4 linked regions of the Caenorhabditis elegans genome follow. The protein of the gene in region 4 interacts with the protein of the main gene of each other region in a pairwise test. Each region holds a gene or a part of one and is shown on either strand. Other genes may lie near its edges. The genes, in order: spk-1, C27H5.2, aly-3 and nfm-1.

Region 1 (7,764 bases), 3.3 Mb from region 4:
TTTCAGGGAAAATATTTTGTGTGAAACGAAGTACCAACGCCGATTTTCCTGTAAAGTTTCTCAACGTGAATGTCCTTGTTTAAATAAAGTTGTTTTAATTTTTTCATTGCTTTGTTCAATTTTGCTCCCGGTATGTTTGATTTTCTACAAAAAAAAGTTGTCGTAAACGCTCACCAACATGAGGATATCCCATAACGGCCACTTTTCGATTCAGACTCTGACGATTTGATTGCAGCGAACTGCTCATCTTCACAAAAATGAGTATATTCTGAATATTGAATGATTGAGTTTTGATAGAAGTATAAAAAATTAATAAATAAAATAAAAAGGGAAAAGTAAAAAAATTATTTTTTTAAACACTCATCATTATTTTTAAATTCTCTATTAATATTTAACATGTAGAAACAAAGAAATGATGTACTTTTGCAATAATATGCGCTTTTTTCCTGATAAAACGAACTAAAAACCAACTGTAAATAGAGAATTGCAGGCGAGAGAGCGTGTGAAAATAAGAGACGGAGGCGCATGATACACTTCTTGGCAGCAAGCCAAACCCACCGTACCCAAGCAAACCTGCAGATCAAACTCGAGATCGATATTTCTGGCGCAAAACGGCCGCCAATTTGAGCCCTCCGCGTTGAAAGCGTTATTATCATTCGAAATTGGCATAGGTCTTATCAAGAATTATATTTTATGTTTGTACGGGCAGATATAATCTTTTTATCATCATTTTTGTTGTTCAATTAACCTCCGCAAACTTTTAAAAACTCAAAAACATTTTCCTCTGAAGTGTTTTCTTGTTTTCCCCGAATTTTGATGAGTCCTATTTTATTTATTTGTATCAATTTCAGTGAAACGAACCGTGTTTAAGTGTAGAATATGGGCGGACCAGAAAAAAACAGCACAGTACCACTGCCAAATAAGAAAAGGAAGAAGAAGACCAATAAGAAAAAGGTGAGCATTTTTCGGTTTCTGTTCAGAAGTTTTCCCTTTTTCTAAACACTTACACTTTCGAAAAATTAAAGCTCAGTCTGTTCTGACACTAAATCGAACCCAAAGAATACTCTTTTTTTCTAATGGCCTCTAGAGATTTGAAAACTTCAAACAGCTCTGTCGCATTCCCTTCATTTCACGCACTTCCGAGCTTACTCTCTTGGATGCGAGCCCTCCACTAATATATTCTCACATCAGTTTTAACTTAGATTTCTCCTTTGCCTCAAGTAAAATGAGAACGGCTTCATTATGAGCCAGTGGCAGCCGCTAATGACCCAGGGGTAGAGATAACCACTAATTTTCTTTTCTTACACTAGTTTTAAAACAAAACAAAGTGAAAATTTATGAGCATGCTTAGTATTTTGCATTCAATACATTGGCTATATCGCCGATTGAATGTGAGTTTAATAGAATTCTGCCATTAAGCTTTTTTAATCTTCATATTTCAGCCCACAGCACCAAACACGCCTACATCTCCTCAAGCGGGTGAGAAAAACGCAAATTTGAAAAATGGAACAGTTACAACAAACGGATCAAATCACGTGGAAAGGTGAGATTTTGAGTTTTTTTTTTTAATATGCTTTAATTACATCGCTGAAACCGGGACCAAAATGATTATAAGTTGTTTGGTGTAATCGTTGCATCGTCCTTTTCTCATGACAGCAACTGGTTGTCTTTTCACTTCGTCTCAAATGATCCCACCTTCGTGTGTCCGTCATCCATCCACCCATCCATCCATTCGTCCCTTCTTTTCTATCTTCTCTATTCCTTCACCTTGGCCTTTTCTCTCTGTCAGCTGTCTCCTCTTCGCGACCTGGCCGACAAGTTGAAGATTGAAACAAGGAAGAGAGACCCAGGATTTCCTCTATCTCTTGTTGGGCGCCGCAATCATTACATCACTATCACTTGAACACTCTTCCTTCTCACACCGATCGCGTTTTCTTCAAGTCGCTCCTCGCGCCTCGTTGGCCGCCGCCAATATTCTCGAGACACTTCTCGCGCCGCTGATCTTCCTTATCCCCCTTCCCACTCTCAAAGCGTCGCAACTCGCTTCTACGTGGTCGCTATTTCAAAAAAAATCGCCTGCTTTTGAATCCAGTTTTCTTCTGTCAGGCTGGCCGGTCGAGCAGTACATTCGCTCTCAGCTATCGATTACTCGGGTATAACAAATGATGTCGAAGCAGGCGGCTCCTTCAGCTTAACTGACGTTTTCCCCACTGTCATATTCATGTTTGTGGTTCTATTCTGTAGATGGCTCAATGGCTTCAGCCAGCATCGAGAACGACTTTATAAATTCGAAGATGAAGCCGTTCAGAGACGCCGCCGTTTTCGTGTTCATTCAGAGGAATCGGAAGAACTGAATGACCACGAATCGTATTCTGAAACTGATATTTGTACACAGCTTTTGGCATCATCTGCAGACGTAACCTGTCATATAAATGTTGATTTGGTCAACCAGAATCGATTTTATTTCTTTGTAAAGCAAAGAAATAAAAAAGAAAATTCGACCAATGAAGAAGAAGAAATCTCTTCCCAAGAAATAAATACGAGTACACAAAATGAAGAGACAGAAGTTAATTTAGTGTTCGCTAGTGCGGAAGATAATGGAGGCGTCGCGTCGAATTTCGATATATCAGACGCTCTAATGGTTACCTCTAACATTTCCGAAGTCAGTAAACTACCGGAAACGTTGTGCGAAGAGGGTGAAACTGTACAACAAAAAAGTGTTGTAAATGAGAATGATCATTCGAATGAGGACGATGAACAGTCGCTACAATCACAAGATGGTTCAAGATGCTCTGATGAAGACATGAACTCTTGCGTATCTGCCTCAGATGAAGAGGACGTTGAATCTCAAGATGATTCTTTTCATGTGAATGATGCTACCGAAGAATCAATTGATTCGGTAAGCTCTATTGAATCACAAGAAGCAGAAGAGTCAGCAACTGAAGATTTGGCGTCGTGTCATTCGAACGACGATAAAAATGAAAAAGATGTTCTTGTCGATGAGGACACATCCAAATACGATAACCTTCCGGTGGAAATGCGGTCAGCAAAAGAGGGTGAAGAGAGTGAAGGGACGATCGATTCTTCAGTCTCCTCGTCGACATCGTCTTCCTCAACGGGCGACGACGGGGACGACAGTGCTACCTCTTACGACTCAGAAGATATCGAAATTCAGATGTTCGAGTATGATCTGGGAACCGCATGCGCTTCAGCTTCTATTTCTATTCCTCGTCCATCTATAATTCCAAGAAATAACAAAAAGTAACATTTATTTTCCATTAACTAAATTAGTATTACTAATATCAATCAGAAACTGTCTTTTAATTTACATTTTTCAGGACCGAAGTCAATGCTAATGAAGAGCGTTTGGACGATTTAAGTGTGAGCCCCGGACGAAGTGATTCTCCTGGAGGCGGCGGTGGTGGACATTCAGATTCATTCCAAGATCCAATGGTGAGTTGATTTTTGCATTTCATTTTTTTGTATTTATACATATTTATTTTCAGGATCCTGGAGAACAACTTGGATCTGACGATGAAGAACAAGAAGATCCACGTGATTACAAACGAGGTGGATATCATCCAGTCAACATTGGTGATGTATTCAATGCGAGATATCATGTGATTCGTAAACTTGGATGGGGTCACTTTTCTACGGTTTGGCTGGCGTGGGACACTCAAGACAAACGATTTGTTGCCATGAAAATAGTGAAGTCAGCGGAGCATTACACGGAAGCGGCTCTTGATGAAATTAAGGTTAGTTTTGAAGTAACGTAGTGCTGAAACAATAGATTTTTATGCAACATTCTCTGAGACTCGAGAAAAAAAAATTAAGACTAATATAAAACGAGAATAATTTCAGTTGTTGCTATCCGTACGAAGTGCTGATCCAAATGACATCGGATGCCACAAGGTTGTTCAATTGCTCGATGAATTCACTGTTACGGGAATTAATGGTCAGCACGTTGCTATGGTGTTTGAAGTTCTTGGGTGCAATCTGTTAAAGCTGATTATACGCTCAAATTATCGAGGACTTCATCTGGAACAAGTTAGGAAAATATGCAGACAAGTTCTGGAGGCGTTAGGATATATGCATGAAAAGTGCGGCATCATTCATACTGATATTAAACCTGAAAATGTGCTAATCACGATGAGCCGAGAAGAGATCAAGGTATTTTTTAAAAACCATTAATTGTGGAATTAATTTTTCAAAATTTTACAGATTATGGCTCAACATGCTGTAGTTGCCCGGAAGATGAATATGAAAATGAGTGGATCGGCTGTCAGTACTGCACCGGATCATTTGGTGAAAATGGCTCAGGAGAATATGACGAAAAACAAGAAGAAAAAGATGAAGAAGAAGGCCAAAAAACAACGAGAGAAGTTGGAAGCGGAATTGGCTGGACTCGAAGGCCTCAAAATGGACGCTAATGGGCTGCAGGAGGCATACAATAATGCACCGGTAAGTTGAACACTATACCGTTCTTCTTCTAATAGTATTGCACCCCAATACTTGAATTTTTAAATTTGAAAGAATATATCTCTGTTCATTTCAAAGATATCATTTCACATTTTAATTTTGAAACGATAGAAAAAGAAATAAAAAAGTATTTTCTTAGTTGACAAACATTGGAAAAGTTTCGATGTGCAATAATAATAGAGGAAATACGCTGGTAATTTTTAAAAAATCAAGATTATACTCTATCAATCATAATTTTTTAAAAAACGAAACAAAAACGATAAAACTGATATATAGCAAAATGGTGTCCGAATGCGTCCTCCATCTTTGCTCTTCAATGGTCCGATTCCCCAACTGCTTCAAGGCAGTTCTTGTGTGAATACGCCATCGTCTCCAAGAACGGTTCCACCGCCACCACCATCTCTCTATCCACAGGTTGGATGCGTCTGCAATCAGACGTATCATCTGACACAGGTGATCCTGAATGCGAATGTTGGTGTGAGTGTTTGGTTGTGTTGACATGATGATGGTTCCCTTCTACTCTCTCTTCCTCGATTCACACACTTATTTCCACTCTGCAACCAAAATTACCGGAAGACGCTTGTATATTCACACGTACCTCATTTCTCCTTCCGTTTCTTTATTTTAAAATTCACTGACTATTTAGTTTCGGTTTTTTTTGCCGCTGCGCCCTGGATGCCGTCTGCATTTTTTCGTCGTTTCGTCTTTGTTGCAGAAAATACATCAGTGCTGTATCTAATTTTTATCATATATAAGCTTAAACATGTTGTGAATTCAGTTTAGAAAAAAATCTGAATCAATTAATTTAATTTTTATTTTTTCAGGAGTTGGAGAACTTCAACGCTTCACAAGTGGAAGATGTCACCATGGAAGATACTGTCAATGAAAATGGAAACAGAAACAAGGTATGATATATTTCATTTTTGTAGCCACAACCATTTATATTTTCAGGTGGAAATCAGGAGCCCTGATCGTTTCGATAGAACCACGCTGACTCCATTCAGTGATCCGGAGAGCAAGTTTGGAGATTTGGCCTCACCATCCGCCGAATATCTGAGCTCGCCCATGAGCCAGTTGCCTCCAGGTGGTATCCTGCCTGCTCCTCCAGTTGGCCCCAACATTGGTGATCCATATTGTGACATCGACGTCAAAATCGCTGATCTCGGAAACGCGTGTTGGGTGAATCATCACTACACGGACGATATTCAAACTCGTCAGTATAGAGCACTTGAAGTGTTGATCGGTTCAGGATACGGACCTCCAGCTGATATTTGGAGTACCGCGTGTATGGCTTTTGAATTGGCAACCGGTGACTATTTGTTTGAACCACACCAAGGAGATAACTATTCACGCGATGAAGATCATCTTGCGCACATTTCCGAACTTCTTGGAGCAATTCCACCGTCAATTTACAAAAAGGGTAAACATTGGAGAGAGTTCTTCCACAAAAATGGACACTTACTTCACATTCACCAACTTAAACCATGGTCACTATACGAGGTTTTGAGACAAAAATACGAGTGGTCTCATGAAGACGCGCAGCAGTTTGAAAGTTTCCTTCGTCCGATGCTTGATTTCGATCAGGAGAAACGATCTACGGCCAAAATTGCATTGAAACATCCGTTCTTGTTACCATTTGGAGGAAGAGCGCCAAAATCTGATTGTCCACCTGAGGTTTTATATTAATTGTCTGTTCAATATTTTCTCTATAATTTTTACAGCTTCTGAGCAAGATGTTTCCGGATGGATTGATTCCCGAGCCGTTCGACGGAAATGAGCATCAGGAAGTTTACCGTGACGAAAATGATAGTAGATCGGCGAGGTTCGTAAGCTCGGACCGACGCGGATGTAAACGCAAATTGCAGCGAGAGGAGTGCCAATAGCAGGTCTGCGGGCGGCAGCGACGACGACGACGAGGAGGAGTTCAACATGAATCGACCTGGTCCATCGGGGGTGATAACAAACAATGAAACGACCGACATTTCTGACATTGAACGCTTTCAGCTGGATTTGCAGTAGTGCACGAATCCCTCCTGTTTGTTAACACTTCCATCACCGTCTCGTCACTCTTCAACGCCCTCTTGCACATCTCCCGAGTTAAACATGTTCTCCTGTCAATTTGACGATATTCATCTTTATGTTTTTCCTTTTTTCAATCAAATTTTACTCGTTTCTTGCCTACGATAGGTGAAAAGAAAACACTTCGGGCTAATTTTTTTTTTCAGCATTTTCCAATCTTTTGTTCCAGAGTGTTTACTTTTATGTTTTGAATCTAGACAGTGTTTAACTTATTGTTTCGGATTTCAACAATCATCCGACTACTTCATCTCCCCATTCTCCCTGTCACTTTCTACATCGAATCACCGCATCCTTTCTCTTTTTTACCACCGTTCTTCCTGAAGTGACTGAGCAGTAAGCACGTTTAGCGCCACTCTCGTGCGCGTCTCGTTGAAGCGCCTTTTGATCTTTAGTGCTACTGGTATAATATAATTATTTTGTACGAACATCGTCCTTATCCTCTGCCCAACAACATCATATGCTTCTATCAGCCTCAAACAGTAGATCATCTTTTCCCCCCATTTCTTTTTCATTTATATTCCTCCGTCTGTTCACATACCCAAACTATTTGGCATAAACCTTTCTCAAATCTTTACTGTGCTTCATTGCTTCCTTTCCCCTTCTCTCTCTCTCATTATCTCGGTTTCCTCGTAGACATAAATGATTGAATTTTGTAACGTTAGCGAGATAAAAAATAATTGATTCATGTGGGTGGTCGTCGAGAGATCGTAACAAAAGAACAACAAAACAAAGCGGGAGAAAATAAAAACCTGTTAAAGGATACGATAATAAACATCATATAAAAACTTGAATTGAATTTTTCACGCCAGGACGTATGTCATGTTAATTCCTGATGGTCCGATTGAGGTCTGATCCAGATATCCATGATTTTCATGTTTCACAAAATGAATAAATTGAGCGATAGCACGGAAGAGATTGGGTGATTGACGGAGAACGTTGCACTTAATTGCATATCCATTTTCATCAATGTGCACAAATTCAGCGTGTGGAGGAGATTTTGTAACCTGAAAAAACATTTCTTGAAGTGAGGAGGAACAAGAGTGAATTATTATAAGCCATACCATGTGAAGATAGAAACTGAATGGAGTACGTTGAGCAGATGATGGTTTTTGAGCATTTTTGACACAGAATCGGCTGGTGAATGGCTGGTCAAGGCTGAAAATTGATTTAATTTTTAACACAATTTATTGAATTAAACGTTAAAAC
Region 2 (7,752 bases), on a different chromosome or scaffold from region 4:
CGCTGTGTTTGATAATGAAATAATTCTGGACAAGATTTTGAACAATGTATCGAAAGATGTTTTTCCCTTGATACCGTTAAGGGTATGGATTTGTATTTCGAGTTCAACTTGTTGAAGAAAATATTCAATACACTCAACAAAATAGAATGCCAATCAATTGATTAAATGCTTCCGTTGTTAACCTTTTTCAATTACGTGCCTTTATATATTTTATTACTTTCAATTTATTCATAAATATAAACGTATTTTCTCGTTTTTGATTTGATTTTACGATGAAAGGTGGCTCAGTTTTTCCCATTGATAATTTTTTCTTAGTCAAACTTCTGTGCTGCTAAAACTATTTTCAGTCCTTCCCATTCAACATTAATTTTTCCAGCAAGAATTGTAGTGAAAAAACACAGTACTTCTCATTATCAAGCAATTTTTAGACCTAGCACTAGCCCAAATCAGTATAGTTTTTGTACCGATAAAAATTAAATCATATATGTAAACTGTTCATACTTTTTACAAGTCAGTGAAGAAACTCTTTATTACATACTCTAAATCTACGCCGTTATTTTTTAGATAGAAACTGAAGCACACTCGGATTATCATCAAATATTTTCATCGAATTATTTACAAAAGATCTGAAATTTCTCTGCGTGAAGCTGTGGCATCTGCTGCCAACGAAGAAACAAGCACATTGAGCTCAGCAACTTGACTATCCGATTCTGCGAGTCTTTCTTTCAAAACTCTCACTTGACGGGCTAGATCTTCCTGGAATAGTCGGAAATTGAATATGTTAGATATTTGAAATTATTTAAAGCGAAGCCATGCAAACATAAAATCAGCTTTTCACAGCAAAAACATGAAATAAAAATAATTTATTGAGAACTTAAAATAATCAGATATGTGTCGTGATTTTGTGAAATTGATTCATAATGAAATGATAAGCCAAATGGGTTTTTTTAGTTAAAAGCGAATTGAAGACGACAGACGATGGACTGGACTGCCGCTCACCTGAGCTTTTATATGCATTGCATCGGAGAGACGTCGAACTTCATGACGTTCATGTTCCAATTCTGATACTCTGTAATTATTCAGATTTAACACTCTTGAAACAATTAAATCTCACAACTATTATTAAACTTTGCAAAAATATTCATAAATTTTCAATAGTTTTCAGCTACTACAATTTTGGAAGTTTACCAAAAACTGTCTTTTCTACTATTTATATTTTTTTTAATGTTCAAACCTAGTAGAGCTTTGATAATCAAGAATGCCCTATAAAATGTCCTTATAAATTTCTCAAAAAGTCCAGGATTTTGAGACAATTTGCCAAAACTTTGACAAAAAGTTTTCAAAAACTGTGCTGGAATGGAAAAGTGGCCTATAAAATAACAGATTTTTAAAATGATATTGCAGTTGATTCTCCCATTTAACGGTATTCCTTGCTATTGAACAAAAACGGTTATGAATCCAAAAATTTTATTCATTTTAAAACTATTTACAAATACGAAAACTGATTAGGGTTGAGCATAACCGAGAAGGAAAACCGTTAAACGGAAGAAACCGGAATTTTTTGGGAAAAAGTGAGATAAAAGGAATATGGATCAAAACGTTCCAGGTACGTTGGAAGGAAACGAAAATTTGTGCATTTTCAGGGCATTCAATCAATTATTTTGGTTACTTATCAACTGAGACTGTTAAGATTTCTTTCAGATTATGGTTTAAAAATAATAAAAATATTCGAATTATCAATTACCAAGTCTACGAATCTACCAGTCCCAGATGACGTTTCTGAATTAAAAAATAGAAAAAATGCAAGAGTGATCTAGATAAGAGAATACTCGAGCAGAGGATCAGCTGACCTTCGAGCATTTTCTGCTGCTTCCCGGGTTGCTGATTCAAGAATTGATTGAAGATGGACAAGTTGTTCACGTAGAGATAACACTTCTGATTCTGCTGCGTATTTCTGAAATTAATTAATTTCTTTGGCATAAAATAACTATTAAACATTAGAAATGGATTTCTAACAGTCTCTTTTTCATCCCGCCCAATTTCGATTCAATTTTTTAAGTAGAAACTTACAACTTTATCCCAATCTTGTTGTTTCTCTTTCAGTTCTTTTGCCCAATTCTCATTCACACAAGCGAGTTCATCATCAACATGTGCAAATCTTCGTTCCAAATCTTCGTTTCTAAATTATAAATTTTCCAAAAATTTGTAATAACTCCATCAATCTAACCTATTCCTTAATTTAGCATTTTCCTCGAAAACCTCTGTATGAATACTTTGCATCTGTTTATGATTATCTTTTGTTTCTTCTGATTGAAGTTTCATATTTTCATTTGTTTTCCGAAGTTCCTTATTTTCCTGAATTGCGTGAATAAACGTTGGGATATTCTCATAATCCTCAATTCCAGCTGCATCTGCGAATGGTCTCAATTGATCCAGTTCCTGAAGTAGGTACATTTTATTGAAATCTGAATAACAATTGTTCTTACTTTTGACAAAATATCCTTTGATGAAGTAAGCATTGATATAGTATCAGACATTTCTTTTATTCTATTGTGACTTGTTTCAAGTTGAGCTTTTAGTCCGTGATTTCTGAAATACTAGTGAAATATGGAAACGTTTGCTATTCACCTCCACTTACTCCTCCTCTACATTCATCAATTTCATTTGCAGCTCGGTAACATTTTCCTCCAAATTTCCAGATTTTCGGTTCAACTCGCTGATCTGAAAATTATCAATAAATATTTGAAACTGGAAATCTTTGTCTTACAGTATGCCTCGACTCTTCCAATCGTTTTAATGCTTCACTGACCATTTCCAATTCCTGCTGTTTGCAATCAACCATCGCATTTGCTTCAGATAAATTTGTCTCGGTCTCCTTCAAGTTTTTTTCCAAAATTCGTAACGTTTCATTCATCTTTGTGATTTCCTGTCGATTGGCATCAATAATCTGATCTTTCGCAGTTGAAATACGGCATAAATCCAAAAATTGTTGTTCCAATGGGCTTAGTTCTCTTCCAGCGGTTTTCAACATTTGTGAGCGTTCCTAAAAAATTGATTTTGTGAAAACATCTTTTTGTGAATAAAAATGTCAAAATAAAGGATACCTACCTCAATTGCTTGAATCGGATCAGGGGTTACTGTAGATGATGAAGTTGATGAAGCTGTTTCACGAGAAGAAGTGTGTTGGCGCTTCTTTGTAAGATGGCTCATATCTCAAAGAGCAGTTTGTATGTTTGATTTCAGGAATAAATTGATTTCATATGGTAAAAATTATGAAAATTATGTGCTGAATGACCCTTCTCACCTATTTTCATTCCAGAAGCCAACATCATTTTCTGCACTGCTTGCACACTTTTTTCAAATTGTTTTGTGGCGTCGCTGTAAGAAGCAGTATGTCCCGAATTTCCAGCAGCTGTATGACATCTTTGACCTAAACAAAGTTGTTTGCGGTATGTCCTTGTGGTAAATCTTACTCAAAGTCACAAAGTATTCTCGATCATTCCATGCTCCGCCAGGAGCCATAAACTTTTTTCCATCAAATTTCACTGATTTCTTGCATGAGTCACCGATTTCTCGGTAGTACATCCCAGAACATCCTGTAATTTTTTTTCCTATTTATTTTCATTTTTTCTCATTCTCTCCAGTTCCTGCTGCTATCAATTTCTGTAAAACCCTTGAGAAAATATACGGATCAATAAGACACAGACTGTAACAGATAAGAAAAGCTTCTTCTTCTCTCTCTCTCTCTCTCTCTCTTTTTGGGCGCCAATTCTTTTGCAATTATTCGCATACTTTGCATACATGTTGATTCGATTTGATTACATTGAAATAAACCAAGAAAAAGGTTAGCAGAAATGAGAAGTGATAACAATTCTATGGGTGAGGTGACATGTTTGATGCCTACATCAGAGGGGTGTGTGGTAACAAAAATAACACGGACTGTTCCGCTATTATCTATTTGTCTTGTCAGCAGAAATTCACGTGAATCATCAAAAAATGATACAGTTTGTGTGTTGTCAAATGAAAACATTCACAAAAAGGAAAATTCAACAAGAATTTGGAAATTTCTGGCTACAGTACCTACAGTGTACTCGTGTTGATTGTTATTTTGAAAAAAGTCACAAAAATTATGAAAAACTGAAGAACTGTCTTCTTTCTTCTATTAGCTTCTCGGTTGTCTATGATTTGATTAAAAATGTTTTACAACTGCCAAATCCAAATGTTCTTGCTATTTTTTCTAGAAGTTTTTTGTTTGACACAAGCCTGAATGCATCAAATTAAAATGCATTATCTTCTTGTGTTCCGTTACAGTAACCCACCTGGAAATGCAGTTTGAAGTGAAGTCCACAAGATACCAGCATCTTCATCTAACTCTACTTCAACAGGTTCCACCCCGATTCGAAGAGATTTAACTGCAAACATATCTATTTTACTTTTAAATATCTCCCATCTTCCTTCCGTTTTATTACTTGTTTGATTAGATATGAAACCAAATTATATAAGTAGTTACGGGTATTGAAGAAGATGAAATTGTGTGGGGCAAAAAAATGTAGGCAAACACAAATTTTTTCAAGTTTTTGATTCGAAACACGATTCGTAGGTCATTGGGTAAATAGGCAAAATATCAACTGAAGATATAGAGACTCAGACATTGACATGACCGAATAAGCTCATTGTGCCGGAGAAAAAATGAGGAGAAGGACAAAAGAATTGAAAATGTTTAAAGAGCTTCTTGTTTCTATGTGTTTCTATGTGTGTTTTTTGAGTTTGAAAAATTAAAAAAATGAAATTGAAAGCGAGGAGAGTATTTATATAAAATAAACCACACAAAAAAAATTAAAAATTGAATTCCTATTATGCACATTAGAATTTTCGCCATATCTTACGTGCATGGGTCTCGCCACGCGGACATCGAGTTACTGTAGCTCATATTAATTTATGGACCGAGATTGTATCAACCTTTTCAAATTAAACGAGGTACTGGTGGCGGAATTGTATTAAACAAAAATATGATGTAATATCTACCTGTAAGTTCTAACGAGTTACAGTAACCCGTTGTCAGCGTGGCGAGACCCATGTTCATTAACCATTATCAAATAGTTTCAATAGGAAAGTTCAAAAACAAAAAAACTATTTTCAAAATTGAATACTTGTGCAACTACATAGATGTAATTATTGAAAATCAAACAGCTGTTGTGATCAAGGGTGTCAATGTCCCGTAAAAATTTCGAAAACGGGACAACGGGAATTCCCGTTCCCGTGAAAACACCCCAAAAACGGGACAACGGGAAAAACGGGAAACGGGAATTGACACCCTTGGTTGTGATTAATGCGCACGGATATATTCAGATGGGTCTTGGTGTGCGAAAAAGTTTATGGTAGTCTGCTTTTGGATTTTAGCGACTGCGTTTATTTTCAATAAAAACTACTGGTTATTCAGAATCAGATTTAAAATTATAATGAAAATTAATTTAAAAAAAACTACCATTAACTTTTTTGCGCGCGAAGACCCATCTGAATAAATCCGTGTGCCTTTGTGAAGGCATGTCAGAGTCTATTTAAATTACGATGTAACTTTCTACGTTTTTATCTTCAAATTAAATGTTCGTAGAGCCTATCAATCATAAAGTTTAAGAACTATACTTTAATTCTGAATCTAAAATAACTTTCATTGATAGTTTTATATTTTTATTCTGAATATGCGAGAATAATCTTACTAAAAATCTATTCTCATAGCGATTTCTTCGAATCTTACCTTGTAGTCCTGTAATACTGCTCATTAGTCGGTCGAAGTTTCGAACGGACAGTCTCTCCCGGGTAAATTGGAAGAATGAGAGGTGGGCGCCGAGGCAAAGGGAGGTCGAGACGAAAGAGATGGAGAAGCAGATAGTGTGACGTAGAGATGAAGTGCGGAGAGAAAACAGACAGTGACACGCAAAGCAGCTGATGGGTAGGGAAATGCGGACAATTGCAAAAAAAACAGATGTTAATGTGCAAAAATTTTTATTTTCGTTAAAAATAAAAAGTGGGAAAAAATGAAATATAAAAAGAACATTGAAATTTGAATGTATCGAAGTAGAATATAAAGGTGGATATAAAATTGTTACAAGTCTCTCACATTGAAGAGATCAGAGAATTTAAATTAGATGTTAAAATTTATGGGGAGACGAGTTGATGGCTCAATATGGACGGTATCGGTCACCTCCTGGTGGTCCTCCTCGTCGCTCGCCACCACCACCTCCGGATCCTCCATCTGGTCTCGGGGCTTGGCATTGATTGCATTCCTAGAAGAAAACCCGTGTTTTTTTTTTGAAAAAACAAAATTAACTAACTCTTCTGAAAGCGAAGTTGCTATTTCCGCACTGCTCACATGGCCAGTCATTCTTCCTTTGTTCCATATTAGCATTTCCGCCACCTACTCCACGGCCTCCTCTGAATCCTCCACGATCGCCACCACGGTCGCCGCCTCGGAATCCTCCACGATCTCCTCCGCGGAAGCCTCCTCTATCACCACCTCGGAATCCTCCTCGGTCTCCGCCACGGAATCCACCGCCACCACCGCGACCACCATCGAATCCTCCACGACCACCGCCGCCGCCATATCCTCCACGATCACCGCCAAAGCCACCACGTCCTCCCATAGGACCACCACGACCACCTCCGAAACCGCCTCGTCCACCACGACCACCTCGTTCACCTCCTGCATCAGCGCGGAACTTGGCTAGTGAAATACTCATCGGGCTTGAGCCGCCAGGGAATGGTTGCCCATTGTACATAGTTATAGCTTGTTGAGCTGCAGAAGCATCGACGAATGTTATCATGCATTCTCCTTTTGGTTCTCCGGTGTTGCGATCGGTGTAAATCTTGATTCTCGGTCCGCGATCGTTCTTTGCAATATCTCCGCAGGTACTGAAGACGTCGGCGATGTAGGCTTCATTTGCACTGAAATATAGATACATTTTTTAATTGGGCGATTACAAAACATACGTGGTGGAAATTCCCTGCACAAAGACGGTCTCCTTCAACTCAACTCGCCCATCGGATCCGAATTCGCGGTTTCCTGAAGCAGCACCACCGCCTCCGTATCCTCCTCCACTTGGTGGTCCGTCACGTCGGGGTCCTCTGTCTGCAATGAAAATATGAAAACTTTTACAAACAATTTTTTCGTCCAACTGTCAATAATATAAAGCACAGGAACAAGTATTTTTATATTCGTTTAATGTTTTTTGTTTTTGAATTTCGATGATAAACTCGGTAGGATACCCATTTTTTTTTAATTTTGGTAATAAACTCGTTGTGGTACGAAAGATAAAGCAATTTACGTATTCAATACCTTGATAACCTCCTCTTCCTCCTGGAGGTCCGCCCTGTCTGCAAAACATCATTCTTGAATGGAGTCTTCTGTCTTCTTCTCTCATGCTAACACCACAGTAAAATGTTTTCAGATTTCGACCGCGCAATAATACACCTTCAATTGATTTTTTTTTGTACGCACAAACACGATCATTTAGATTTTAAGATTTTTCAAGCATGAGAGATTTCAGACAGAAGCATCTCCTGCACGCTCGAAGTCGTTTGGTAGACTTCATTTGTTCTTCACTCTTGACTCGTTTTGATACCGAACACACGTAATAATAGCTGAACTGCATAATATTTTGAAGGAAACCGGGCCATAGCCCTACAAATCGATAAAGCACAATGAATTTGTGCTTCATTGCGGACACTGACCTTTTTTCATGAAACTTACAATGA
Region 3 (3,844 bases), on a different chromosome or scaffold from region 4:
AAATTGAAGTTTCTTCTCGTCGGCTGCATTCTCTGGTCTCCAGCCACGTGGCACATATCCTGGACCGAAGAATGAAGCGTTGAAGAGATTTCCTATTGTTAAATAATTCCACAATAAAAATGTTAGTGTATTGAAAAGTCCCATGTATGAAGTAACAGGCATCCACTGAAGAGCAAAAAATGTTGTTACTGCTCCAATCTGAATCAAATATTATTTTATAATGATCAAAATTATATAAAAAATACCATGGTTATTGTGGAGAATGCAAAAATGGTTCCAAAATGGAACATTCGTCTAAATACAGGCTTATCTCCAATTTCTGCAATTGGAGCAGGCCAATCCGGAGTCTCCACCACCTCACCCGTCATCTGAATTGATTAAATTTCAATAATAAAATATTTAAAATTAAATCAAATTTCGAACATAATTGTGGCGACCTGGGTGAATCCACATAACTGACAACGATATTCTTCCATCGAAAATCGACTTCATACTTGATCCAATAAGAAATTATTGACGCTCAGTTTATTATTTTATCGAATTTTTAAAATGTGGACAAAAAGATCACGAGAAAGGAAAGTAGTAGAACGATAAATATAAAAATTGGTGATTGTGTAAAATATTCCGAGTTATTAATGTGATAGAACAACAGAAGGATCAGAGATTATAGCAGATATCAAGAATGTTCAAAAAGTGATTTATAGTTTAAAAAAAAAGTGCTCAGGCATTTCGCTTCGCCATGTAGGCTTCGAGCTCCGCGTCGAGTTCAGCTTCGGTCTTCTTTGGTTTTGCATCACGAGCTCCACCACGGCCTCCCTTGCGGAATCCACCTCGACCAGCTCCGCCTCTCTTGATGTCACCGGCGTGCACTCCGTCGCGGAGGAAATCTTCTGGTTCTGAAAATAAAGATTATTCTGGTGAACACAATTTAATCATTAAAACGTACTGCCATTGTTTCTGCGAGGACCCGATTGGAATCCACGAGATGATCTTCCCGGTGAACTACGAGATCTGTTTCCAAAATCGACTCTCCCAGCCATGTTGCTCGAATCAATGACGGCGAATTTCATGATCTGAAATATTCATGTTCCATTTTGTGTCACCTGAGATCAGGATTTGGGTAACGGAGAAATCTTGAATAACCAAGTCTCGAGCCAATCAATTAATGCGTGTCGACAGCAACGGCTTTCCCCTCACAATCCATCTCACGACACGGGTCAAAACTAATTTCAACGAGCTTCATCGAATGAACGGCCACACTCAACAAAAAAACCTCAACACAGGTTTATTAAGTCTCTTTTTGAAAGGAAACAACGAGATTCTGATTGCCTGGGTCTGTTGTTGCGTACAGTAGATTTCTGTGAACTGGTAGAAGAAGAACAGAACGCATTCAGGAGCGTCCGCTGGAGCACACACTTTAATCAGGATTCAGCCCCAATTGATTGTTTCAAAGTCTTTGTTATCGATTTGTTGTATCCCAATGCAATACCTTTCCATCTAGAGCGACACCGCTAAACTTCTGAACAAGTCTCTCAGCATCACGTTTGGTGAGCGAAATGTCACCAGTACCCAATGAATCACCTGAAAATAAATTGGTTCAATACGGTTGCATATATTATCAAGCTTACCATGCTCGTTGAAGTTGACCGAAACTGAGCTGAGTCTGTAGTCGCCGAAGAGTTCCTCCAAATCGCTTGAAATGACTGTTGGGGCAAGATTAGAGATATTTACTCTAATAACCTTGCTATCTATAATCAAAATGAGTAGAAAATAAGATACATATTGATTTGAAACCCACCATTTCCTCTGCTTGAAATTCCATGATTCTGAACCGCGTCCAAGTCTTTCCATCCACCACTTCCGCCGGAGCGGCGTGGAAGTCCAGTGGGTCTCGTATTTCCTCGTCGAGCTCCTCCGAAGGATTTCTTTTGAATGCTTCCAGTTGTCTTTCTGGTTTTAGAGATGATGTCCTCAAGAGACAAATCGACATTGGTAGCCTTAACCATTTTTCGAAGATTGTTGGAGTTGAAACTGAAACGTTTTTCAATTGAATTAGAACGACAACATTTGGTTTAAGATCAAAAGTAAGTTCACGGGAAAAAACAAAGAAAAAAATTATAATTATTCGGAAGAGCAAATGTAGCGGAGACCAAAGTGGAATGAGAAATAATGAATGAAAAGATAGGAATGAGCAAATGAGGAAACTGAGAAAAACGCTGCGTTTGGTGACCGCGACGCGTACGCAACGCGGTCAACAGCATACGTTACCTCTTATTTGAATAAAATTCTCAACACATTTTTTTGCAGAGAATTAGGGAAACAAACAAATTGACAGCTTAAAATCAGTGTAGAGAAATTTTAACGTTTTTCAAATAATAATTCAAAGTAAGAAAAAGGATGGAAACAAGTATTTAAAACTAACGACACAACGAGTGGCTCATACAAAAAGTTTATTACTTCTTAAGGCCAATTGGCAACGAAAAATCATTCTTGAAAATTATTTTGAGACCAGTGATGTATATCTAGCAAAGTAACTAAATAGGATACAGTATTCATCGACGCAGAATTAACCGTATAAAATTCATCGCATCATCTTCTTCTTCTTGATCATCGTTGTCAAACTCTGGAACATGATCCCAATTTTCCTCTGTATCGCCTTCTTGTAATTCGTTTTGAAACGTAATTCCTTCTCGTTGAATTCCGAAAAAGCGTCGTGGTTCACGAGTCATGCTGATATATTCCCATCCAAGGTGTTCATGACATCTGGAGCACTGAATGATAATCCATGCGTACCTGAAAATCTGACTAATTTAATGATAAAGAGGTATTTGAATAAGCTGACTCTGGAAACCATGTGAATTCATATGATGGTGGTGTAGCTCGATCATAGTTTCGTATTTCTGACAGTAAGGTAATTTTGTGAACAAATCCGTGAGCATTAACATGAGTCATTGTTTGATCTGGAAGCCTCATGATATGTTCATTGCGGAAAATTGGAATGCGACATCTAGAACATCTCCCGACAAATACTTTGAAATACTTCAGAGCAGCAACTATACGACCGTTCGCTGAATCTTCTTTCAAGAGACTGTACTCAGTTAGCCGATTAGAGAAAATATGCTTTGCAGCAAAATAGCTGAAGTATGTGAGGCCACGATCTTTAGCTTGTCTCACAGTGTCATCTCCAAGCATTCCTGAAAGTAGTCCCACGCATTCATTCACAGCACTTTCTGTAACATCTCGAATAGCATTGAATGGATATCCATTGATTCGGGTTGCAATTGAACGTTTTTCGTGAGCAGGTAAATGTATTGCATATTTCGGAATAAATGATGGAAGTAACGATGGAAGTTCGACGTCTGGTAGCAATTGTACTTCTGCTTCACCACGCCCTCTGAATTTGAAAGAAATTAGAAGGAAATTATGTTTCGTAAAACTTACAAATTATACTTCAAAACTTTACATCTGTAGACGCCCATCAACTCCATACTCAGAGCGTTAGAATTTGCTTGAACAACTCTAGAAAGTGTAGCAATATATGGGAGTGATGTGCATTCTGGAATATCCAATGGAAACAGTACAACAAATCCATTAGCTCGAGCACTCGATACAAGTCTTTCATAGATTTCTCGTTCATCATCGTGGAATTTCATCGGGAGTTGTTGCCCTGTAAACTAATATGAAATCGGGAGGTTTTTCTTTTTAAATGTAACTCACCAGGAAAACAAACAGCACTGACTCCACAAATCGGAAACCAATTTGTTCCATAATCTGTGAGTCTGGCTTCATTTTCATAATTTTCTCTATTTTCATTGTCTTGAAGAGCATAATCGAATCTGTGAGT
Region 4 (7,339 bases):
CCAAAAAAATTTCGGATCTAAACAAGTTTTTGGCATTTATACTCCCTTTAAACCGTGCGCATAATCATTTTTCTGTTTCTTTCTTTAAAATTTCCTTATTCATCTTTGTTTCCCTGCCAAAGCTGATTCCGTTCTCGTTCTTTTTTTTTAATTACTTGTCAATATGCTTCAAAGTACGTCGGTTTAAATAAACTTCAGGTTGTAAAACTCACATTTCCATTCCCAGCATCATCAAGCAAAAATGGAATGTTATATTTGGTTCCAACTACCAATGGGAACTTTTCCACTGTAGTTCCAGATGAGATGAATCTGAAAGAAGTAATGCATCACATTTGACACTCAAAATTCTTCAGTACTCCCGAACTTACCGATATTCTCCGTCAGTTTCTGACAGAACCTTGTAGTTTGGCTCTCCTGTTTTCAGGGTTCCATACACGAAAACCTTGAATTTTTCGCCCATTTTTGCTGGAAATGAATTAATAAATTACAGATTTTTTCATTATTTTAAGTTAATAAAAAAACATTTAAAAAAAATCTGTATTCATCAATCATTCGATATGTATATTTACACAATATGCCTTTCGGAAAAAAGAAGAAAAATACGCGTTTTTGTCTTGCCACGAAAGATTATTGATTGAAAAATGGCAAAAGGGTGTGGAAAAATCAATAAACTGAATGAGCACAAAATGGGGTTATCTCTTATCGGGATGGGGAAAAACTGAAGAAAAAAAAGGAAAATCGGTTCATAAATGGCCATAAAGTTTCTTATCACATTCCATCAAAAGCTTGTGCTCGTTGTCGTGGAGTTCCTCGCATACTCTGAAATTATAAGAAAATTATAATTGGAAAATGAGAAGAATAATCAATCAATACCACACTAATGTTCATTTCAAAATTTGAAAAATCACAACAAAATACACCGACGGACAGGTTTGTGAAATTCAAAGATATAGTTTCACTAAAAAATGTGTGATTTTTTGAATCAATTAATAAAATTAATAAAGTCTTAGCGCGAGCGAAACTTTTCAGATACCGTACCCTGGGTTTTGCTTTTTCTTGTTTCTTTCTATTTTTAAAAATTTTTCGAGTTTTTGTTGTGAAAATCTTATTTTCCCTGAATAGGTTTACTACAAAAACATAAAAACTCAAGAAAAAGAATTTCCAAATAAACGATGGAACGTCTACTATTGGATACTGTAGCGGAAAAAATAATCTCGTGTCAGTACCCGACGTAACGATTGCGCTCTAAGAAATATTTTTCGCGCTGCGTTCATTGTTGCGATTCCTGATTTTTAAATTTTAAGTCAAAAAAAAACAATTACAGTGTGCATATTATTGAATTTATTCATAGAGCGCTTGAACCATGAATGTTTATTTTCAACTCTAACAAAAATACCAATCAACAAGTGTTAGAAAACAATAATTGGAAAATTAGTCAATATGCAAACACGCTCTACCACACAACAATCAAACTCTGGCACTATTTTCTCACTATATTCAAATGTCAGCTTCCTGCCATTCAGTGTTTCCCAAATCATAAGACTGCTGTCTATGCAGCATCATGACGTGGCTCAGAATACTTGACGAGCTCGTAGTGGATACTGTAGAGACACGTGGAATCCCTCGTCCCGCCACATGTCTAGCGACAGTATTGAGCTCCAAGGAATCGGAGGAACCCGATGAGCCAATTGAGCTTGCGCTTTTTGATTTTTTCTGGAGATATTCCGAAGTTAAGCGTCAAACTTACAAATGCCAAACGCGCGAAATTTTAATAAATTAGAAGCTTAACATATAATAGAATAGGATGAAAAAGAGATTTAATAACTTTTTGAACTTTTGACCTTCTGATCATGAGATCAGCTTAGTAACCGTTCAGAACGGTAGCATGCTAACAGAACTTGCTAAATTATCTACTTACCATTCTCATCGTCGTGAACTTATCAAAACCGTGTGCCACATTTTGTGCATGAACCGCATCATGCTCTCGATGCTGCCCATTTTGTACATTACCGTCTCGTTTCAGGCCGTCAATATCGCCACGTAATTCTTCCAGGTGCTCCTTGAAGATTCGCGCTCGTGTTTCGTATTCTGACCTGAAAAAATTTCTAATGTCACATACTATTCTCTATTAGGATTGTACCTCCATTGCTCAACTCTGCTAGCATATAATTCAGTTATCCTTTTTTTTTAATTACCAAACTAACCTTGATTTTTCCAACTCCATCAGAGTAGTCTGTTGCTCGAAAATCTGACTAATTGAAGGATCGGGTGGTGGAATAATCATACCAGATCCTCCGTAATATGGCGGTTGATTCTGATTTTGAACTTGAGTTTGTTGTTGATGAGCTTGAGTATTTTGAGACATTTGTTGTGGTTGTTGATGAGAAAGTGGTTGATTTGAAGGAATTGGGGAGGAAAATGCAGATGATGGCATATTCAGACTTCGAGACATCATTTGTTGAGGATGAGTGTGTGCTGAAAATGTTGTTTCCGTATAAATATAATCATATTTTTCTTATTTCTTATTTCTAACAAGACGTGGATTGGTCAAAAACAGTAGCAACTTGGCTTGCGATTTCATTCCCAAATTGGCATTACAAACAATAAATTAGTTTACAACTAGACACATTCTCATTTGAAGATCTTGAATTTATAATATCATTACCAAAATATTTTTTAGTGTTCTCTTTTTTGAGGCAACTTTGCAAATACCTGGCTGTGAGAAAATGTTGAAGTTACATAATCAAAAAAAAATTCGATAAACTGATTAGGGGGTCGGTTTTTATTATGTGATCTAGACTTTTTTGACTCGGCAAACTTTTATTCTTAACTTTTAAACATAGTTTTACGCCCATTGCCAAAATTATCATGCAAAAGTTGCTATAGATATTATACTTCTATACTATTTTGGAATAGACTTTTTTATTGTGCCTTTAAAAAAACTAACTGTCAAGTGATTGCAGTTGATGAAATGATCCTGTTGATGGCATACCAGGATGACCTGATTGATGACCAGATACTTGTTGATGCCAATTCTGAAAGTTTCTAAACCGTATTAATCGAGTATATCCTCTATCAATCCCATTACGGTTTTGTCAAGATTTACTCAAAATGGGAAGATTTTCCATTAACTTACCGGATCAATAATCAACGCAGACTGACTCGAATACTGTGTCATTTTCCGATTCGCGTCAAGGCTTACATCTGCTAGTGACATTGACATCTGCTTTGCCAAAATCTCAGCTTCCCGAGCTTTTCGTTCCATTCTCAACAGAGCTTCTTCGGACTGAAAATTAAACTTTAATTTCATAATTAATTTGATTTTTTACCTTCATATTATTCATACTTAATCGATTACATTCAGCTTCAACTTCACTTTTTTGCTTGTACAACATCAAAGTTTCATGTTCACTGTGTCGTGCCTTCTCTGCTAATTGATCATTCGCTTCTTCTGCCTTTCGTATATTTTCTTGAGCTTTCATTAATTCCAAAGTCATCACTTCAACTTTTTGTTTCATTTCCTTATATTCTTTTTCCATTTGCTGCCTCTCTTTTCGTTCCAATGCAACTTTTGCTTGTTCTGCTGCTCGACGTTGCTTGTCTTCTTTTGCTTGTGATCTCATTTGTTGAACCTGAAATATACAGTTATCATTTCGTAGAAAACTGAATAGAAATTTTCAAGTTGCCCTACTATAAAAGACACATACCTCTAACGTGTCTGGCTGCCTCCTCCTTAAATACAAATTGTGTGTTCCAATGCAAAGATCCAATATTGAAGAATCAATTGATGTCTCTCGTGATCGAAATGATATTGTGGATTTGTCGACGGTTTTCATGTGAAACTGAACGTACAATGGAAATCGTGAAAAGAAAATTTTAAAAAAATTACCTTTCGATTCTTAAATTGAATATTCTTAATCTCACTCCAACTAAAAAACGGCCGAGGTGTTATTCGATTCACTCCCTTATAGATTCCCAACCCTTGAGCGGATATACCAAGATGTAAGTCAGTTTCTTTGTTATTCTGAAAATAAATAAAATTATGTATCTCAAATTCAAATGTCCACAACCGTTCAAACAGAATCTCTCAAATAACTTACACAAATAGGATAATATAATATTCCATACATCTCCAAATCCTGTGCAACTCTCAAATACTCAAGTTCAGCTTCTTCTCTTGATTGTCCTGCATTCCGTGACCACCATCGTTTTATTCGATCTCTCCACATATCAGCACTCATATCATATTGATCAATCACACTTTTTGGTAAATGCTTGTCAAGATCAATTGGACCAACTTCTTCTGTACAGTCGCCATGCTGAAAATTAATTCGTTTTTACTAGATTTTGAATAAAGTGTATATAGATAGTTTTTCAGAAACATTTTCAGGCACTTGAAAATGTTTTGCCAATTTTTCTGGAAGAAAATGGGATTTTCAAATACTCTTCAAATATCCTTTCTGAAAATTTTAGATTTTCAAAATTTTACAGCAAAAGTTTTGGTAAATTTCGATATTGTAATTCTCAATTTTTCAGAAATATATTAAAAATTTTATGAGTGATTTTAAACACTTTCTCAACTGACGATCTTTTAAAAGTTCAATAAAGGAATTTAAATGGCATTTTCATATTTTGTAAAACCCAGTTAAAATACAAAAATCTTACCATTGCTTGAACTGCAAAACTGGCCAATAAAACACTTGCTTCAGGTGAACAATATAGATTCATTGAAAGTATTGCTTCTCGTATTTGTAAAAAGAACAAATGTCTAGTGGCATCTAGAATAATCTCAGGTTCCACGTCTTCTGGATAGAATTTGACAAGAAATAAGAAATTAAAAGTTCCATCAGATGTGTCTTTTTGGATGTCTTGGCCACAGATCTGGAAAATTTCAAAAATTAATTATTTTCAGAGAAATTATTTTTCCCAAAATATTTTAATTTGATAATTAGAATTTGGTTTTATTGTTGGAAATACCGTATCCCCAAAAATGTATTCAACAAAAACTCACAGTTTTATCATTCTGTAACCAACATGGAATATTCTTTTTATTTGTGAACTGTAGTCCAAAATACCAAGTTTCCCGTAATCCAATAATTCGACAAACTGCTTCAAATAAATGTCTTCCTGTCCATGTTTTCTCAATTACAATCTTCTCCAAATCAGCATCCATTGTGCTCACTTTTGCGTAAATGGGCTTCGTGTTTCGCGAAAATATCGAAAATCCACCCATTGCTATTTTTTGGAATTTTTGTAGGTGAAATTAGCCTGGAAGTTTAAGAAAAAAATAATACTAGCAACTATTATTCATTTCTGAAAAAAGACCGTTGTCTGCACATGAACGTATTGCACGTATTTTCTTTCCGTCAAGTAAGAACAACATCCAAAAATTCAGATACTAAAATTGCTTTTTTAGTTTCTTTGAAAATAAAAATTTCAGATAGTTTCAGTTTGAGGCAATTAGAAAATAACGTGGATTCCAATATTTCCGTTTAAAACTTCGGAAAGTTAGAAAAGTTCTATAGTCTCCGAAGTACTGAATTGGTTTCTCTAGGGTGAAAAATCAATAATGAGATGAAGCCCATCTTAAAAAAAGTATGTTAAATAGTTAAGAAAAGTGAAGAAAATCAATGTAAGTACGCCCCAGGGCAAATAGTGTTGTAACTGTATAGGTATCTGCGTCGAGGAACTCTATGCCAACTGTCTGTCTCACAAGAAGTGTTAGAACATATGAGAGGAAGGAGAGGCATTGGAACTAACAACAAGAGAAGATGATTGGAAGAGAGGACGAAACAATATTTCAACACTCATAATGATGATAGGTATGGAATCCCAGGTGCATTCATTGAAGAATAACTGATAAAAATATTGAAGAACAATGATTCAATGCCCCCAACTGATATGACGCATTGTGAAAATATGTGGCCTGGTCTCGTGTGAACAAGAATTTTCAGTTTTTCGATAAATAAAATAATGTCAACACGCCCTTTCCTCCTCCATCGTTTTTCTCCAAATGGTTTCGATACAAAAGTTACATCGACTGACGAGATTCAAAAAGATTCGCAGTCAGCAGGATTCGAACCTACGCGGACAGAGCCCATTTGATTTCGAGTCAAACTCCTTAACCACTCGGACATTCTTAACCACTCGGACATGACTGCACGTTTTGGTTTATTATCAAGTATATTTTCATTTTGTACAATTTCGAAGTTACAACGAAAAAAATGTGCGAAAAAATTGAAAAAAATTTAACGCAGTCAGCAGGATTCGAACCTACGCGGGCAGAGCCCAATTGATTTCTAGTCAATCTCCTTAACCACTCGGACATGACTGCACGACGAACCACAACTTTCGTGGCCTAGACATGCCGGGTGTTACGCATAATAGGAGGAGGGGATGGGGAGAAGTGGTCAATGGGGGGAGATGAAAGGGGGAATAGGGACAGTATAGAAAAATTCACACAATCGGTATTTTTCGATTGACTTATTATTATATTTTCAAAAGAGACATCAGTGTGAAGTGGGGCGCACTTGTGTAAGCAAAATGGCCAACAAAAATTCGAAAACTTCAGTAACTTTTCGATTAACCTCCCTATTCCTTTGAAGTCATATAATTTTCGAATGAAGTTTAAGTACATTTTTTCCATATTGAAAATTCAAAAATTCCAGAAAGATGAAATCCAGAAAAATGTTTCGAAAGTACAGTGTACTGATAGTGAGCTACAGTACAATTTTCGTAAGTACGCTCGATGGAACCTACTTTCCCTTAAATTTACAGTAACGCATTAAAGTTCTGCAAAGTTTCATAACCAATCTGCCAAAAAACTTCCTCATAACATAATTTGTTGTTTCCCATCTTTCCACTTTGCTCTTCGTACTCTGTGCCTGCTCCCACTGTCTGGCTCCCAACACTTCCTGCCGGGAGCCTCGGGAAATCCCTTCTTCCCTCTCTCTCTCTCTATCCTTCTCTCCCAGAGCTCCGAAAAAATAGGCGGAGCCAGAGCACACACTTATGCTCTCGCTCTCTGTGCAAGAGCCACCTCACTCAATTTTTGTGCTACTTCGAGAGTGTCGATGCCTCATTTGTTAATTGTTTGTTATTTGATGATGATAATGAATTGTTGTATCGATATTTAATTGCACTCTGCGTGGGTGTTATCACTTAAATATTAGAGTTTTTCTGGAAAAAAGGAGTAAACTTAAGAATTTTGGAGATTTTGAGGGAAAAACAAACATGTGAAAAGCGGAAGAAAATAGAGATATACATAGACTTTTAAAAGTGCTTTGTTTCCTTGTTATATTTCTGATTTTTTTTTTCAAAAATTTGGACTCAAAAAAAT

Evidence for each region.
Region 1: the proteins of nfm-1 (region 4) and spk-1 interact in a two-hybrid assay, tested with the Caenorhabditis elegans proteins (one large-scale study listed by BioGRID).
Region 2: the proteins of nfm-1 (region 4) and C27H5.2 interact in a two-hybrid assay, tested with the Caenorhabditis elegans proteins (one large-scale study listed by BioGRID).
Region 3: the proteins of nfm-1 (region 4) and aly-3 interact in a two-hybrid assay, tested with the Caenorhabditis elegans proteins (one large-scale study listed by BioGRID).

What each region holds. Positions count from the first base shown.
Region 1 is NC_003281.10:9,455,763-9,463,526, forward strand, and holds spk-1 (Serine/threonine-protein kinase spk-1), read left to right. Parts: upstream 1-1,765; 5' UTR 1,766-2,221; coding exon 2,222-3,261; intron 3,262-3,338; coding exon 3,339-3,453; intron 3,454-3,506; coding exon 3,507-3,755; intron 3,756-3,861; coding exon 3,862-4,170; intron 4,171-4,221; coding exon 4,222-4,461; intron 4,462-4,755; coding exon of another isoform or gene 4,756-4,932; intron 4,933-5,303; coding exon 5,304-5,384; intron 5,385-5,430; coding exon 5,431-6,153; intron 6,154-6,200; coding exon 6,201-6,301; intron 6,302-6,344; coding exon 6,345-6,498; 3' UTR 6,499-7,245; downstream 7,246-7,764. Other genes in the region: rheb-1 (GTP-binding protein Rheb homolog 1), read right to left, coding at 1-48, 175-247; B0464.6 (uncharacterized protein), read right to left, coding at 7,359-7,562, 7,620-7,713. UniProt on the Caenorhabditis elegans protein: Required for embryogenesis and germline development in both adult hermaphrodites and males. SR-protein kinase (SRPK) that binds directly to and phosphorylates the RS domain of rsp-3/CeSF2 in vitro.
Region 2 is NC_003280.10:7,153,711-7,161,462, reverse strand, and holds C27H5.2 (TAR DNA-binding protein 43 N-terminal domain-containing protein), read right to left. Parts: upstream 5,883-7,752; 5' UTR 5,781-5,882; coding exon 5,756-5,780; intron 4,413-5,755; coding exon 4,320-4,412; intron 3,597-4,319; coding exon 3,474-3,596; intron 3,431-3,473; coding exon 3,305-3,430; intron 3,213-3,304; coding exon 3,109-3,212; intron 3,044-3,108; coding exon 2,768-3,043; intron 2,722-2,767; coding exon 2,639-2,721; intron 2,590-2,638; coding exon 2,487-2,589; intron 2,440-2,486; coding exon 2,228-2,439; intron 2,180-2,227; coding exon 2,071-2,179; intron 1,955-2,070; coding exon 1,851-1,954; coding exon of another isoform or gene 1,814-1,850; exon of another isoform or gene 1,780-1,813; coding exon of another isoform or gene 1,758-1,779; exon of another isoform or gene 1,454-1,757; intron 1,070-1,453; coding exon 1,000-1,069; coding exon of another isoform or gene 952-999; exon of another isoform or gene 849-951; intron 757-848; coding exon 616-756; 3' UTR 502-615; downstream 1-501. Other genes in the region: C27H5.12 (Ferrochelatase), read left to right, coding at 1-115; fust-1 (RNA-binding protein FUS), read right to left, coding at 6,180-6,284, 6,333-6,942, 6,988-7,126, 7,334-7,371.
Region 3 is NC_003282.8:12,121,476-12,125,319, reverse strand, and holds aly-3 (Chromatin target of PRMT1 protein C-terminal domain-containing protein), read right to left. Parts: upstream 2,039-3,844; 5' UTR 2,007-2,038; coding exon 1,799-2,006; intron 1,749-1,798; coding exon 1,629-1,748; intron 1,582-1,628; coding exon 1,490-1,581; exon of another isoform or gene 1,074-1,489; coding exon 947-1,073; intron 897-946; coding exon 721-896; 3' UTR 511-720; downstream 1-510. Other genes in the region: dhhc-6 (Palmitoyltransferase), read right to left, coding at 1-198, 246-368; M18.6 (CULT domain-containing protein), read right to left, coding at 2,553-2,793, 2,843-3,394, 3,442-3,667, 3,718-3,844.
Region 4 is NC_003281.10:6,157,773-6,165,111, reverse strand, and holds nfm-1 (FERM domain-containing protein), read right to left. Parts: upstream 5,624-7,339; 5' UTR 5,234-5,623; coding exon 5,012-5,233; intron 4,882-5,011; coding exon 4,666-4,881; intron 4,320-4,665; coding exon 4,101-4,319; intron 4,025-4,100; coding exon 3,890-4,024; intron 3,843-3,889; coding exon 3,708-3,842; intron 3,633-3,707; coding exon 3,330-3,632; intron 3,287-3,329; coding exon 3,137-3,286; intron 3,036-3,136; coding exon 2,948-3,035; intron 2,476-2,947; coding exon 2,205-2,475; intron 2,094-2,204; coding exon 1,919-2,093; coding exon of another isoform or gene 1,907-1,918; exon of another isoform or gene 1,714-1,906; coding exon 1,498-1,713; 3' UTR 1,493-1,497; exon of another isoform or gene 1,486-1,492; intron 820-1,485; coding exon of another isoform or gene 769-819; 3' UTR 527-768; downstream 1-526. Other genes in the region: F42A10.9 (Gamma-glutamylcyclotransferase family protein), read right to left, coding at 213-309, 369-460.